3 linked regions of the Rattus norvegicus genome follow. The protein of the gene in region 2 interacts with the protein of the main gene of each other region in a pairwise test. Links are inferred from orthologs where the notes say so. Each region holds a gene or a part of one and is shown on either strand. Other genes may lie near its edges. The genes, in order: Bmerb1, Rapgef4 and Swap70.

Region 1 (4,276 bases), on a different chromosome or scaffold from region 2:
TAATTTCTACACTTCATTAATAAATGGAGGTTCACACCTGTGGGATAGCTCTGTAAATCCCTTGTGAATTGAGAGGATGCTTACATGTAAACAAAAATTCCAAAATGCTTGCTTAGAGACAGGAATTAAGATGCCAAAACTTGTCAGAGTTGAGAATCTAAAGTGGGCCTCTGGATTCCCACTTCAAGATTTCAAATGTGAGTAGCTTAAAGAGATGGGGGTTGTTGGGAATCTGTGCCAAGGCACATAAGAAACTAATCTGGTACTGAAACAAGAAGCAAGTCTCAGAATCTTGGAGGCTTTGGACAAAGAGGATCAAGGCACCTATAGCCAGGACTCAGAAGTACAAAATTTTCAGGAACTTGTGTTGTTTAAAGTGAATTCTTACCTCAGTTTTCCCTACATGCTTGAATTTGGTCCCAGTTTAAAAAAAATGGGAAAATGAGAAGGAACTGAATGTGTTGGCACACACCTGGGTTCCAATGCTTGAGAGGACAGGCAGAAAAATTCAAGGTCATCCTTGGCTACAGAGAGCTTGAGGCCAGACTAGATTATATGAGACCATGGTGGGGGAGGGGGACAGGCAGAGAAAGATGTGGCAGGGAGAGAGGAGAGAATGCTTTAAGGGACTGCTTAACATTTCAGTTTGTTTTTGGTTTCTGTTTTGAGACAGGATCTTACTTTGTGGCCCTGGCTGGCCTAGAACTCACAGAGCTATGCCCAATATTGCAGTTTGAACTCACAGTCTTGCTCTATGCAGTTGAATGGAAAGGATGAAAGTGGTTCCCTCTACAGAGGAACCACTGAAACATAGCTGTGTCCTGAGAACTTACCTGAGCTTTGCACACACCATCTTATCAATAGTCATGCTGTAAAGAAAGCCACGTGGTAGATGATATTATTATCCCCATTTTCAAAGAGCAAAGCTAGAGGACAGAAACACACCTTATCACAAAGCGCAGAGCCCTAGTCAAACCAGGGATTCCTTGACTCCTTGGCTTCTCCTCCATGGAGACCCAACTGTCTATAAAGCATTGTGGACTGCAGGGACCAACATGGCCAATATCTGCTTATAAAATTACTGACCATTTTTTGAAACAAACCCAGGAAGGTTCTTAAAACTGTGAAGCAGTAAACCTTCATGAAAAATGTATGGAGTTCAACTAATCTGGGTCTGAATCCTGGTCCTATCATTTTCTTCTGTGTTGCCTAGCAAGCCTCCACCTCATCCATGCAAAAGGCATCACAATGCCACACAAGGTTGTAGCAGGGATAAATGAGAGGTGTTTCTGAAGTTTTCAGGACATGGCAATCTAACAATACAAGGCAGCCATGGCTGTTATTATTTTGAGCTTGTAAACCACAGATTTGCAACCTCTAGATTACCTCAAAGTGCCAAAGCCAAAGGGTTTAGGAAGGATGAAGCAAGGGAAAAGATCTGGGTGCTTTTAAGGAAAAAGAAAATGTAAGAAAGAAAGAGGTTGGAAGCATTAGAACACCCATCAGAGCAGGACTTGAACTTGATATCCAAACACAATATAGCTTAGTTATTGAGTTCATAGTTACAAGAATGGAGAAAACACACACACACACACACACACACACACACACACACACACACACACTTTCTCCTACGTGAGGATAGGAAAAGACCTTATTTACAATACTTTAAGTACATGTAACTCAGGGGCTGCTGCAAGGGAAGAGCACTAAGCCCAGAGACCCAGTCAGAGCAGGTAGCTGCAGGGGCCCTAAGAAAGCAAAAGGGCTTTTCTCCAGTTCTGAAGGCTATACCAGGGCTGCTGGGCAAGTCATACCAGAACAGGAGGCAGGGTGGAGGACATTGGGAAGCCCCTAGAATCGTAGGGACATCAGTGGCTTTAGACTCTTCAGATAGCCTCCACTGTTCGCAGAGTTTCAAGTATTGTGTCCAGCAAATTGAAAGCAAAAGTCTTGGATTCATTTAGAGATGTTTGTTGATACCAAAACACCTAAGAGAGAACCGGTGATTGCAGAGGTCTGCTTCAAAACCACCTCCAAGAGCTGAACCAAACCAAACTGGATCATTGAGTCAAGGGCTAACAGAGGTGGGGAGGAGGGACGACAGAGCGCTAACATTGCCCTGGCTTGCTCTTTCACCTCTCCTCTGACCTGGGAGGAGGTGGGAAGATGCTGGGATTTCAGCTATGCCCTGAACCTCAAGACATAAAGAGGATTCTGACACTCCCCCATCTCTGTATGTGGGCGCTTTCCAAGCTGCCCTTGGCTCCTGTGCCCTCAATCATCCCAACACTCCAGCATCCCTCCTCCTGGGATGCGGGAAAGGTGGTCCTTCTCAAAAGCAGCCTCCAATTGCTTGATCTTGGACTCCTTAGTCCAGCTCAGCTGGATTCCTAGCTTAGCTGCCTCGGGATTTCCAAAGGAGCCTCCGGAGCAGCCCAGCCCTGGAGGGTCCTCTCTTTTGTTTGTAGGGAGAATATTGCTACTGTGCAACACTGGAAGCCCTGCTGCGGGGGCGCTTCCCCAGTCTGCTCGCCCGCGTTCTGGTCTGCTCTAGGGGGCCTCAGTTCAGCAAGAGAGTCCCCAACTGTCCCCACCCGTTCCCTGCCCGAACACTCACTTCCCAGTCCCTCCGCTTTCCATGCTGTCTCCTCCACCGCCCCATAGCGCCTCAGAGGCTTCTCGGCTTCCAGATGAACAGACAGAGATTGCTTTAACTCCATTGTTGATCCCCGCGAGCAGGTCCAGGGGTCCGTTTCACTCCATCCCTGCTGAAGGCTGCAGGGAGGAAGGCGGCTCAGAATGGCAGTATTTTAAGGGGCAGGGCGTTGCTGAGGAAGCTGCTCCATCTCTTCAATCTCCAGCACCCGAAAACGCCCAACTGGTACCCAGGATGGGGGAGGGATGCATAACACATGCGCAATGGAGGCTGGAGGGGGGAGGAGGTTTGGGGACTGGGTAGGGAGAAAGAGGGACAGATGATAAACTCTCTAGAGCAACAAAAGCAAAAACAACTAAAATAAAATCACCCCCAAATGAAGCAAGAATAAGGCACCTGCCCACATTGAAGCCAGTAGATAAGCTTTGTGTGGATGGATCTAGCACTGTGGGTGTCTTGGGATCTGTTAGAGGGCTGGTAGGTTTCAAGAACGTATTTGTGGATGATGATCCTTCTTTGTGGACAAGTCCAAGTGTGGACTGCTGCTTTTGGGTTCTGTGTTGTTTGCATTTATGTACATGATTTTAATATAAAAGGGGGGTGGACAGCAGCCACCCTGTGTGTGTGTGTGTGTGTGTGTGTGTGTGTGTGTGTGTGTGTGTGTGTGTATGTGTGTGGGCGCGTGTGTGCGTGTGTGTGTGTGTACAAGAACAAGTGAAGCAAAAATATTTTGTATATATGGCCTACAAAGCTGTTCAGAACACTGATCTTTACAAACCTAGAAAATAATTATAGTGACCAAACATAGCAGCAATAAAAAAAAAGTGTCAGGACAGGCAACTGTGCTCAATTGGTTCAACATTCACAGCCCAAGCATGAGGACCCAAGTCCGATCTACAGGACAGAGCAGATGTTAAAAGAGCAGGGACAGCAATGTACACAGTGCCAGGAGTAAAAGCAGGAACCTCAGGGCTTGCTTGCTCCACAATACCTTATACCAACTTCTGACCTACACATGCACACTTTTTTGGTTTTAATATAAAGTTAGGGGATAAGAAAGCATCTCAGTTGGCAGAATGCTTGCATAATGTGCACAAAGCCTTGGATCCTAGCCCTAGCACTACATAAACCAGGTGTGCGATCCTAGCATACAAGAAGAGGCAGGAGGATCTGAAATTCAAATTCATCCTTGGATACATAGGGCATTTGTGTGTAGCAGACCATGTCTCAAATGAATAAATGAATGGATGAATGAATGAATGAATGAATGAATGAATGAAGTATAGCTATTGATAAAACCCAATACTACTTTTTGAATTACTGCTAAACATAGAACATTTCCCAATATTTCTGTGAAACCTAGCACTTCACTCCCCCCTGCTTTACAGAAGACAGAATTAAAGTGTGCAGAGAGATCACTTACCCATAGCTCCAAACTGCCAGGGTAGCTCATCAGCGCCTGAATCTGGCTAAACTATATGAATTTGGATTCTGCCTCTTATTGTCCTGATTTCCTTGACTGTGGTTATATTTAGAGAGCCTAAAACATATGTATGTGCATGAGCTGGGGTGCATGGGGGAGGTTTATGTGAATGTGAGTACTCTTGTGAGCCACCA
Region 2 (4,319 bases):
ATGCCACCTTGAGCCTCTGTGCAATGACAGGTGATATATTGTCTTTTCCCCCCTCTGACTCCTCACCTCTAAGGATTCTCTGAGGCATTTGGAGCAAGCATTCAGTAACCTTGAAATGTCCCAATGCAATGGTGCTGATATCTTTATAAACAAAAATATTTAGAAGACACGTCTCCTTCACACCCTGTAAGATGACATCGTTGGAAATCTTAGCGCGGTACAGTATGGTAAGTGATATTTATGGTAAGCAATAGAGAGTAACAGAATGAAACTGAGCTGAGGGACAAGCCCCGTGCAGGGAGGTGCTACTGAAAGCAATTGTTTGCAGGTCTGAAACCAGATACTGTCTATTGAACATGGGGAAATGGAAAATTTTCTGGAGAGAGATTTAAGGTCAAGGTTGTTGTATGAGAACAAAAGCATCCCAGAAAGAAGGCACAGGCTGTTTCCTGCTCCCCAGGTTCTCTGCATCGGCCCTAAAAGGGGGAGCGTGTGTGGGGACAGTATGGATGAGCAGAGGGTAAAGCACTGTTCGTTCCACCCATACCTACTCCTAAATGTATTGAATATCAAAACGGCACTTGGTAGGAGTCCAACCGATTTAACTTGTCCCCACATTCCTGAAAAACGGTCTTTGTAAATTATTTTGTTTTTTGGCAGAGTCTAACTGAACAACTTCTAGGCATAACATTCACAGCGAGCACCTACGGGAGGCAGGCAGTTGTGGCGTCCCTCAGCACTCGGCCTGAGTTCATGGAGCACCCAGGAACTTGGCTTCCAGACCTGAACCCCTAATTCTGCTTGGGATTCAGGGATATCCCATTCTTAATTGTTTCATTTTGTCATGCTTGGGTCATGGAGCCCAAGCAAGTCCGAGGTTCAAGGCCGGTGACTTCAGTTTGCACCCCCTTATTATCCTCTGGTCTCCTGGGTCCTTTTGCCTCAGACCATGACCACACGGTCTCTTTCTGTCCTTCCCAGCCCCCAACGCCCCTCAACCTTCAGAATCATTTACCCTTTGGGGTCCACAACGAGATCATGGTGTCCTCCACCCCCACCTCATTGCCAGTCTTCCCAGCCCTGCCCTCTCTCATCCCTATTTAAATGGGAGACCGTAAAGGTGAGCCAGGAGCAGCTAGCAAGTTTTGACAGCTACCGAGGAGGACTAATGGGTTTCTAAGGAAACGGAGAGGCAGCAGCCATTTTAGTGGCATTTGCCGTACGAAAAATTTATAGAGTCTGACATCCCCTCCCAACGCGCACCCGGGTGGCACCGGCAGCAGACCCCCACCCCCCACCCCCGGAGGTGAGGGTAGACGCGGGCTTGACTGAGCCGGGCACCTGCCGCAGGTGTCCTGGGGTCGCCGCTCCTGGCGGGCGGGCGGGGCGGCGGGGCTCCCACGCGGGCGCCGCAGTGCAGCGCGGGCCTCGCGCCTGGCCCGCCCCTCGGTCCCCGCCCCGCAGGCCGCGGGAGCCCGCCGGGAGGCGCGCGGGAGGTGGCCGCGGCCCGGGGCCACCGTGCGCTGCTGCCCAACATGGTTGCTGCGCACGCTGCACACTCTCCGTCCTCGGCCGAGTGGATCGCCTGCCTGGATAAAAGGTACGGGGGGTGGGGTGCGGGATCTGGGTTGCAGGGGGTCACTCGTGGGGTGCCACCTGCGGGAGAGCATTCCACGTGCCAGGAACAGAATGCGGCGCTGTGGGGGACAAGGCGCCAGCCTGCCCTGGTCCCCTTCCTCCCCGCTGAGACTCCACGCTCCACTCGTGGGTGGGTGGGTGGTTTCCAATGGCATTAAGACCAGGGAGGGTACATGCATGCGGGCTTCAGGCTGTCCAGACCCTCAGGGAGAATGTCATTTAAGTTTTCAGGAGGGGCGGGGAGAAGGGGGCTATGCATGCAGGTGCAGAGTCACCTTTTTTTGTTTAAGGAAAACCAAGTGTGAGGGACTCAGTGGAGCTGTCAAGTCCCTTGCTGAAATTCACAGCTCTCTTCCCCAGGCGCTCTCTCAAGGTCTGTGTGAGGAAGGTCACCCGGGAGGTGGTTTTCTTCGTCTTAATCTTCTGCAGAAAAGACCCTCACTCTAAAGAGGAATTTAAACCGTAGAGTACTGACTCTGGCCGGCCTCTGATGAAGGCGCCCTGGGTGACAACCCATTGCAGTTGTTCCCAGGCTCTAACGGTGTAATTTTCTGTTTGTCCAAATTGCAAATTTAACAGTAAACATTACACAGTATGTTAGCAATTACAGTTTATTACCCTAAGGAAAAAGGTGAGGCATCTGAACTTTGAAGAAACAAGCAAAATGTCTTGCTGAGTGAACTGCCTCTGAATCTCAGAGTTCGGTGCCAAAGGCCAGTGATTCATATCTTGCAGCAATCTGCGTGATATCAGAATTTGCATTTGTGGGACATATTTTGGGCTCTGCCATATTGAAAATTTTTTCAATGAACGGATTTGTGACTGGATCAAACTTGAGAATCTTAAGAGTGGCCTGCTATGCATGTTCTGCTATGGTAGGCCTTTGATGAAAAGATATTAACTAACTGAAAAGAGCTAAATGTATCCGATTTGGATAACTTAATGTGATAAATAATCCTGACTTTTAGCTACTACACGGCAGCAAGAATATTTTTGGCAGGCGTTGCCCCATTTCCGACTAAAATGGTATGTTCTAATATTAGAGAGATTATATGCAGTAAACAGTCCAACAGTTGAAGAGACGGTTAAGTCATAGAGAATTCTGTGGAGGAATGAAAGGCATGTTTAAGCCGAGGGCCTGCTAATGTGATCAGTAATCTAAATTTAATACTTTAGGAAAAATGAGCTATAAAACAAGAGATAACCAGGAGCTTACACTTAACCTATGAATAGTGCTTCCTCGTGAGGGATCACTTTGGGTAGGAAGCCACATACTTCTCTTTGCAGAAGTGCATATCGGACAGTTTTTGAACAGTCAGTAATTCACTGGAAATCCTTTAGTCAGTGAGTACTCACGGCAAAGTCACAGAGTAGCAGAAGTGTGAGTGGAGTTCACAGGGTGTTCTGCCTACATGGCTGTATTCAGAATGGATTTTTAGGACATGTTGCCACAGTTTAATGCCACCGTTCATAATGGGCAAAAAAAAAAAAACCAAAAACAAAAACAAAAAAACTCCACACAAACACAAAAATAAAAACCAAAAACAAACAAAAATAAAGGTAGACAAAAAACCAAAAACCACAGCAGAAAGACCTTCCCCTTCCTGAGCCTCATGTTACTGAAATTCAGGTGGATAAGCTAAGGATGATTTAGGCTCAGAGTTCCCACCAGTTCTGATCTTGTACTTCATCACTTTTGCTTCCTGAGTTTGAAAAATGAGTGTCTCTGGCTCACCCCCAGCAGAAGGGAGGAAAAAGCTTCCTAGTGCTTTGGAAGTTAGGAAGTGCCCTGCGTATGTTTTATTTCCTCAGTGTGAAGACCTTCTTGTCTATTCTGTGGCCTCGCTCCCAGAATTCCTCAGAAGAGTCATTTAGGAGGAGCGCTTTCATTGCAAGCCAGTAGGAGGGGCACATTTTGAAGTTGCAATTTTAAATGTAGTCTGTTAAATTTTTAAAATGAGAGAGTGAAGGCCGAGAGTGGGGATGAAAATTGTCTGGGGAACTCCCTGTGCTGCCTTCTGTTCCAGGCACTGTGCTAGGCATCGAGGCGTAAAAAAGACGAAAGGTGCTTCTTGGCTGGGAGGGGCTGAGGGTGTGGTGGTGGGGTAGCTAGGCAACTGTAACTGCAGTCCAGTGATAAATGCTTTAACAAGGATGTGTAAAGTGCTTTGGAAATGCAGAATCAGGCCTGGACAGGAGAGGCTGAGGGTTATTCTGTCAAAGACAGAGTATAAGAAGGTCAGGCCAGGCAGAGGAGCAGGTTGGGGAAAGAAGGCACACAGGTATAGCAATAGACTAACCTTTCCTCCCCACAAAGGGATGCTCCATTTTCTAAATCTTGTATCATGGACATTTCCAAGTGTGCACAAGTAGAGAAGGACCAACACAGTGAAGGGGTATTTGGGACTATGATGATGGGATCATATAGTAAGTTTAGCTGAGAAATATAGTTCCAACGTTTGCACGAGCCAAATGACCAGGAGTCTGGATATCTGAAATAAAGAGGAGCCCAGAGATTGGAAATAGAAGAGAGAGTCGATGGACCTAGCACAGTCAGTAAAATGTCTGCTGTACAGATATCAGAGTTGCCAGCCACCTGTGCAGAAAGCCTGGCATTGCAGCAAACATCTGCTGACCCAGCCATGGGGGAGCATAGACAGGGGCTCATTGGCCAGCCAGTC
Region 3 (3,645 bases), on a different chromosome or scaffold from region 2:
AGGAGTGTGGTTTTGCTTAAATTGGGGTGACCGTCCCCAGGGCGAGGTTCCCACCGCACCTCTGCCTTTCAGCTAAGGGTGTAGGAAAAGGAATGTACAAACAGCATCCGTACTAGGAATCCAAGAAAATGAACTGCGAGCCAGCACTCACTCCCTCTGTGTGCTGTCCTTTTACTGTATATTTGTATTCAAGTCTAGAAAAAGTGTAACTTCTCTTTAGATTCTTTTCTGTCTTAAAGTCAGAAACCTCTTTTCAGATCTTAAGAAGAATGAACCTTTGCCCAGGCAGAGCAGCTTATGAGCTGCAGGCCCTACAGCCTCTACTCCTTCCCCACCCCTGGGCGCCAGTATACTCAACAAGTGCATGGCTTTCCCCTCTGGATTGAAGAGGCTTTAATCCCTGTCTTCAAAAACACAAAGACAGGGCTGGGGTTCAGCTTACTGGTAGAGTGTTTACTTCACATGTGTGCCCAGTACCCTGACACACACTGTCACACATTGGTGTACTTCTCTGCACCTTAGAATTATGTCACTAGCGTTAGCTCCCTGTGTCTGTGAGTCCTGAGAGCTCACAGAATAACCTGTGCAGGGAGCACACACCAATCACAATCACACTAGTGCTCAGAGAGACAGCAGGGAGGGAGGGCAGCTGGACATCACATACATCACATGCGCCTTCCTGAACACACGCAGGAACCTTGCCTCTAAGAACAAGTGACTAACACCAGATCGCGTTCAGACGCAGGGCCCAGCACAGCAGCACTCCATGAGAGACCTGTGCTCCGGTAACTGCCTAGCTCCAGAAAGCAACTGGACCTTGGTGTGGTCTGAACAGCAAACGGAGCTCAGAGCTGTGTTCACCTTGCTCATTACGGAGGAGAAATGCTGTGTGTTGAGGTGTCCTCTCAAACAGCTAGTGACTGCCCATACTACAAAGCTTTTGAGAATGAAAAGGTCCTGGTTGCCCCAGGATGACAGAGACATCTCAAAGCAAATGAGGACATGTAACCATGCTGACTAAGCACTCCTCACCCCACCACACACAATTCTGCTTTAGGGGTGTGGCAAACAAGGTGCCCATCCTCTTCCTCCACCTCTCAAATACACAGAAGATGCTTAAAGAATAGTCACAAACAAGCGCACGACTCCCCAGTCGCCACCACAAGGCACAGCAAAGCCAGGGTGAGGTAGCAGCCAGGCCTTCCTGAGCTGATCGGCCATTCTGACTTACCAGCTTCTCCCGCTCCAACTCTGTGCTGAACCTGGTCTGTAGCTCTACCTGAGTCTGCAGGCGCTTCTTTTCCTCGTCTGCGGCACGAGATGCTGCTTCCTCCAGTTTCTAATCAATCAATCAATCAACCAATCAATCAGAAACCCATTCCCAAAAAAAGCAAAACTGTTACAGTGGAAGAGAAAGTCTTGCTTAAGCATGTAACAAAACCATACGCTCAATAAAACAGAACTAAGTCAAAGCCGTGAGACACACTGGAATTCCATCCAGTCTGCCCAGTCAGCATATAAAACAAATCAGGTATGAATGCTTGAGTATAAACACTGTACACAGAGAATCTGAGGAGGCCACTGAAACATAACCATGTGCAACTACGCTCACACAGTTTGACCAAGTTCCGGAGCTTTCTATACAGTGCTGTCTCCTAGCACGCTATTCCTTACGTCTGTAACCAGAGTTCAGCTTCCAGGTAGGTGACACTGACAGCTTCCTCAGCACCCACACCCATCCTCAACCCCTCCAAGACCAACTGGTTTCAAAAAAACAAAACATATTAAACTCTGCAGGCCATGCCATCGCATATTCATCTAGGAAAACTCTGGAGTTGAGACTGTAGCTGTGCAGTAGGGTGCCTGCCTAGCAAGCCACGAGGCCCCACAGTTGATCCCCTCCACCCTCAAAGCAAATCACAAACAAACAAAAACACAGAAAACAACAACAAAAGATAATCAACTGGACCTTAGGACACAGACACTGGGGCATTTCAGGCACTCCCTCCCCTCCCCCAGGCAAGAAGGAGTGCTCCTGGCAGATGAAAATGAGACAAGGGCGCCCTCTGTCCTCTGCTCACAGCTCAGTTTACAGTAAGGGAGGAGCAGCTGCTGGGTTTTCATGAAGCTTCCCCAGGGTGGGGTCAAGGGCACTGGCAGGCAGAGAAGACAGGTCTGACCACCCTGGTCTCAACTCACTTGGGCAAAAGGTCCATGGAGAGAAGGAAGTAAAAGTGACAGAGGCTGTGCCCTCTGCTTGGTGGCAGAGGATCTTAAAGCAGGACTGTGGATGGCTCCAAGTCTGTGCTGCTGACTCCACCCAAGCTCACGAAACTTGCAATCCTCCTGCTTCAGCCTTCCAAGTGCTGGGGTTGTAGGTCTGTGCCATCACACACCCAGCCTTCCAGGGAAGTTTTGCTCAAGGAGAAAAGCAGGCTCTGCAGCCCTCACCGAACCTAACTTTGTTATGTGAGGCGTACAAACTAGATTCGGGCAGGGATTAGGAGTAGCCCCACCAGGAAGCAGCCAACCAGATTAGTTGAGCCTGACAGAAGCAGGAAGGTCTGGCTAGGCAGAGCCCTCTTTAAGACTGGCCTTGAGAGGAATGGCTCTGAAGTTAACCTCAGACTGTAAGCATTCCTAGGGTTCTGCAGAAAACATTATCAACCATCCAGAAACCAGTGAACTCTGGCAGGCAGTCAGGGGTGAGTGCACTGAAAGTGTACAGTAATAGGGAGGGGAGGGGAGCCTGCGGAGGGAGGGTCATTCCAGGCGACTGTGGCTGTGCACAGCCCAGCTTGCAGCCCTGAGGAGCAGACTGAAGGCCTCAAGGGTCCAGGAAATAGTCCAGCCAAGTCACTAAATAAATAACCACACAATGACAAGCTTCGGGTAGGGGCATCAGGATCAGTATCCATGGTTCCCACACCACCTTATCTTCTAAAAACATCCAGTTTTCAACTAAAAAAAGAGTATGAGAAACAGGAAAGTGTAACCCCTATGTGGGAAAACAGTCAACAGGCACTGCCTTTGAAGCAGCCCAGGAGGCATATCTACAAAGCCATTACAGTAAATATACTATAAAGAATGAAAGGAAGTCATGGTTAAAGACATAATGGAAGGAATAGCAAAATCCCACACGTGGAGAAAGCATATAGATAAAGAGGCTCCTTTAAGAGCCAAGTGGAGATTGCTGAGCTGTAATGTTCAAGAACTGACTGAAAAGTCCTCTAGAGGGCCGGGTAGAGCAAGAGGACAGTATGCACAGCATTAGGAGGCCAGGACGTGGTATGCCGAGCACGCCTATGATTCCTAACGTGGAGGCTGGAAACGGAAAGATCAGAAGTTCAAGGCCAACATCCCTAAGTAGAGCGCTGAAGGCTAGCCTGGGCTACAAGATCTTATTTCAAAAAATAATCAACCGGAGGGGCTCAACGGTCTACTTGGGCTACTACAAGACCTGCACTAAAGAGATACACAGAAATTATACCATCAGAAGGACAGAAAACCAAGCAAAATAAACAGCTCCAGAGAATCTAGGCACTTTTATACACAATATTCTGTTCAACAACATATGGAACAACTAAGAAGGGAAGAAAAATACTTGAAGAAATACACTGGGACTAGAGAGATGGCTCAGTGGTT

What was found.
Region 1: the proteins of Rapgef4 (region 2) and Bmerb1 interact in binary tests that used the Homo sapiens proteins (3 or more experiments, as listed by UniProt). The link is inferred for Rattus norvegicus from reciprocal best matches to the Homo sapiens genes RAPGEF4 and BMERB1.
Region 3: the proteins of Rapgef4 (region 2) and Swap70 interact in a two-hybrid assay, tested with the Homo sapiens proteins (2 studies listed by BioGRID and IntAct). The link is inferred for Rattus norvegicus from reciprocal best matches to the Homo sapiens genes RAPGEF4 and SWAP70.

Annotation. Positions count from the first base shown.
Region 1 is NC_086028.1:2,450,827-2,455,102, forward strand, and holds the start of Bmerb1 (bMERB domain-containing protein 1), read right to left. Parts: upstream 2,903-4,276; 5' UTR 2,724-2,902; coding exon 2,621-2,723; intron 1-2,620.
Region 2 is NC_086021.1:77,215,583-77,219,901, forward strand, and holds the start of Rapgef4 (rap guanine nucleotide exchange factor 4), read left to right. Parts: upstream 1-1,464; 5' UTR 1,465-1,535; coding exon 1,536-1,600; intron 1,601-4,319.
Region 3 is NC_086019.1:173,750,801-173,754,445, reverse strand, and holds part of Swap70 (switch-associated protein 70), read right to left. Parts: intron 1,340-3,645; coding exon 1,232-1,339; intron 1-1,231.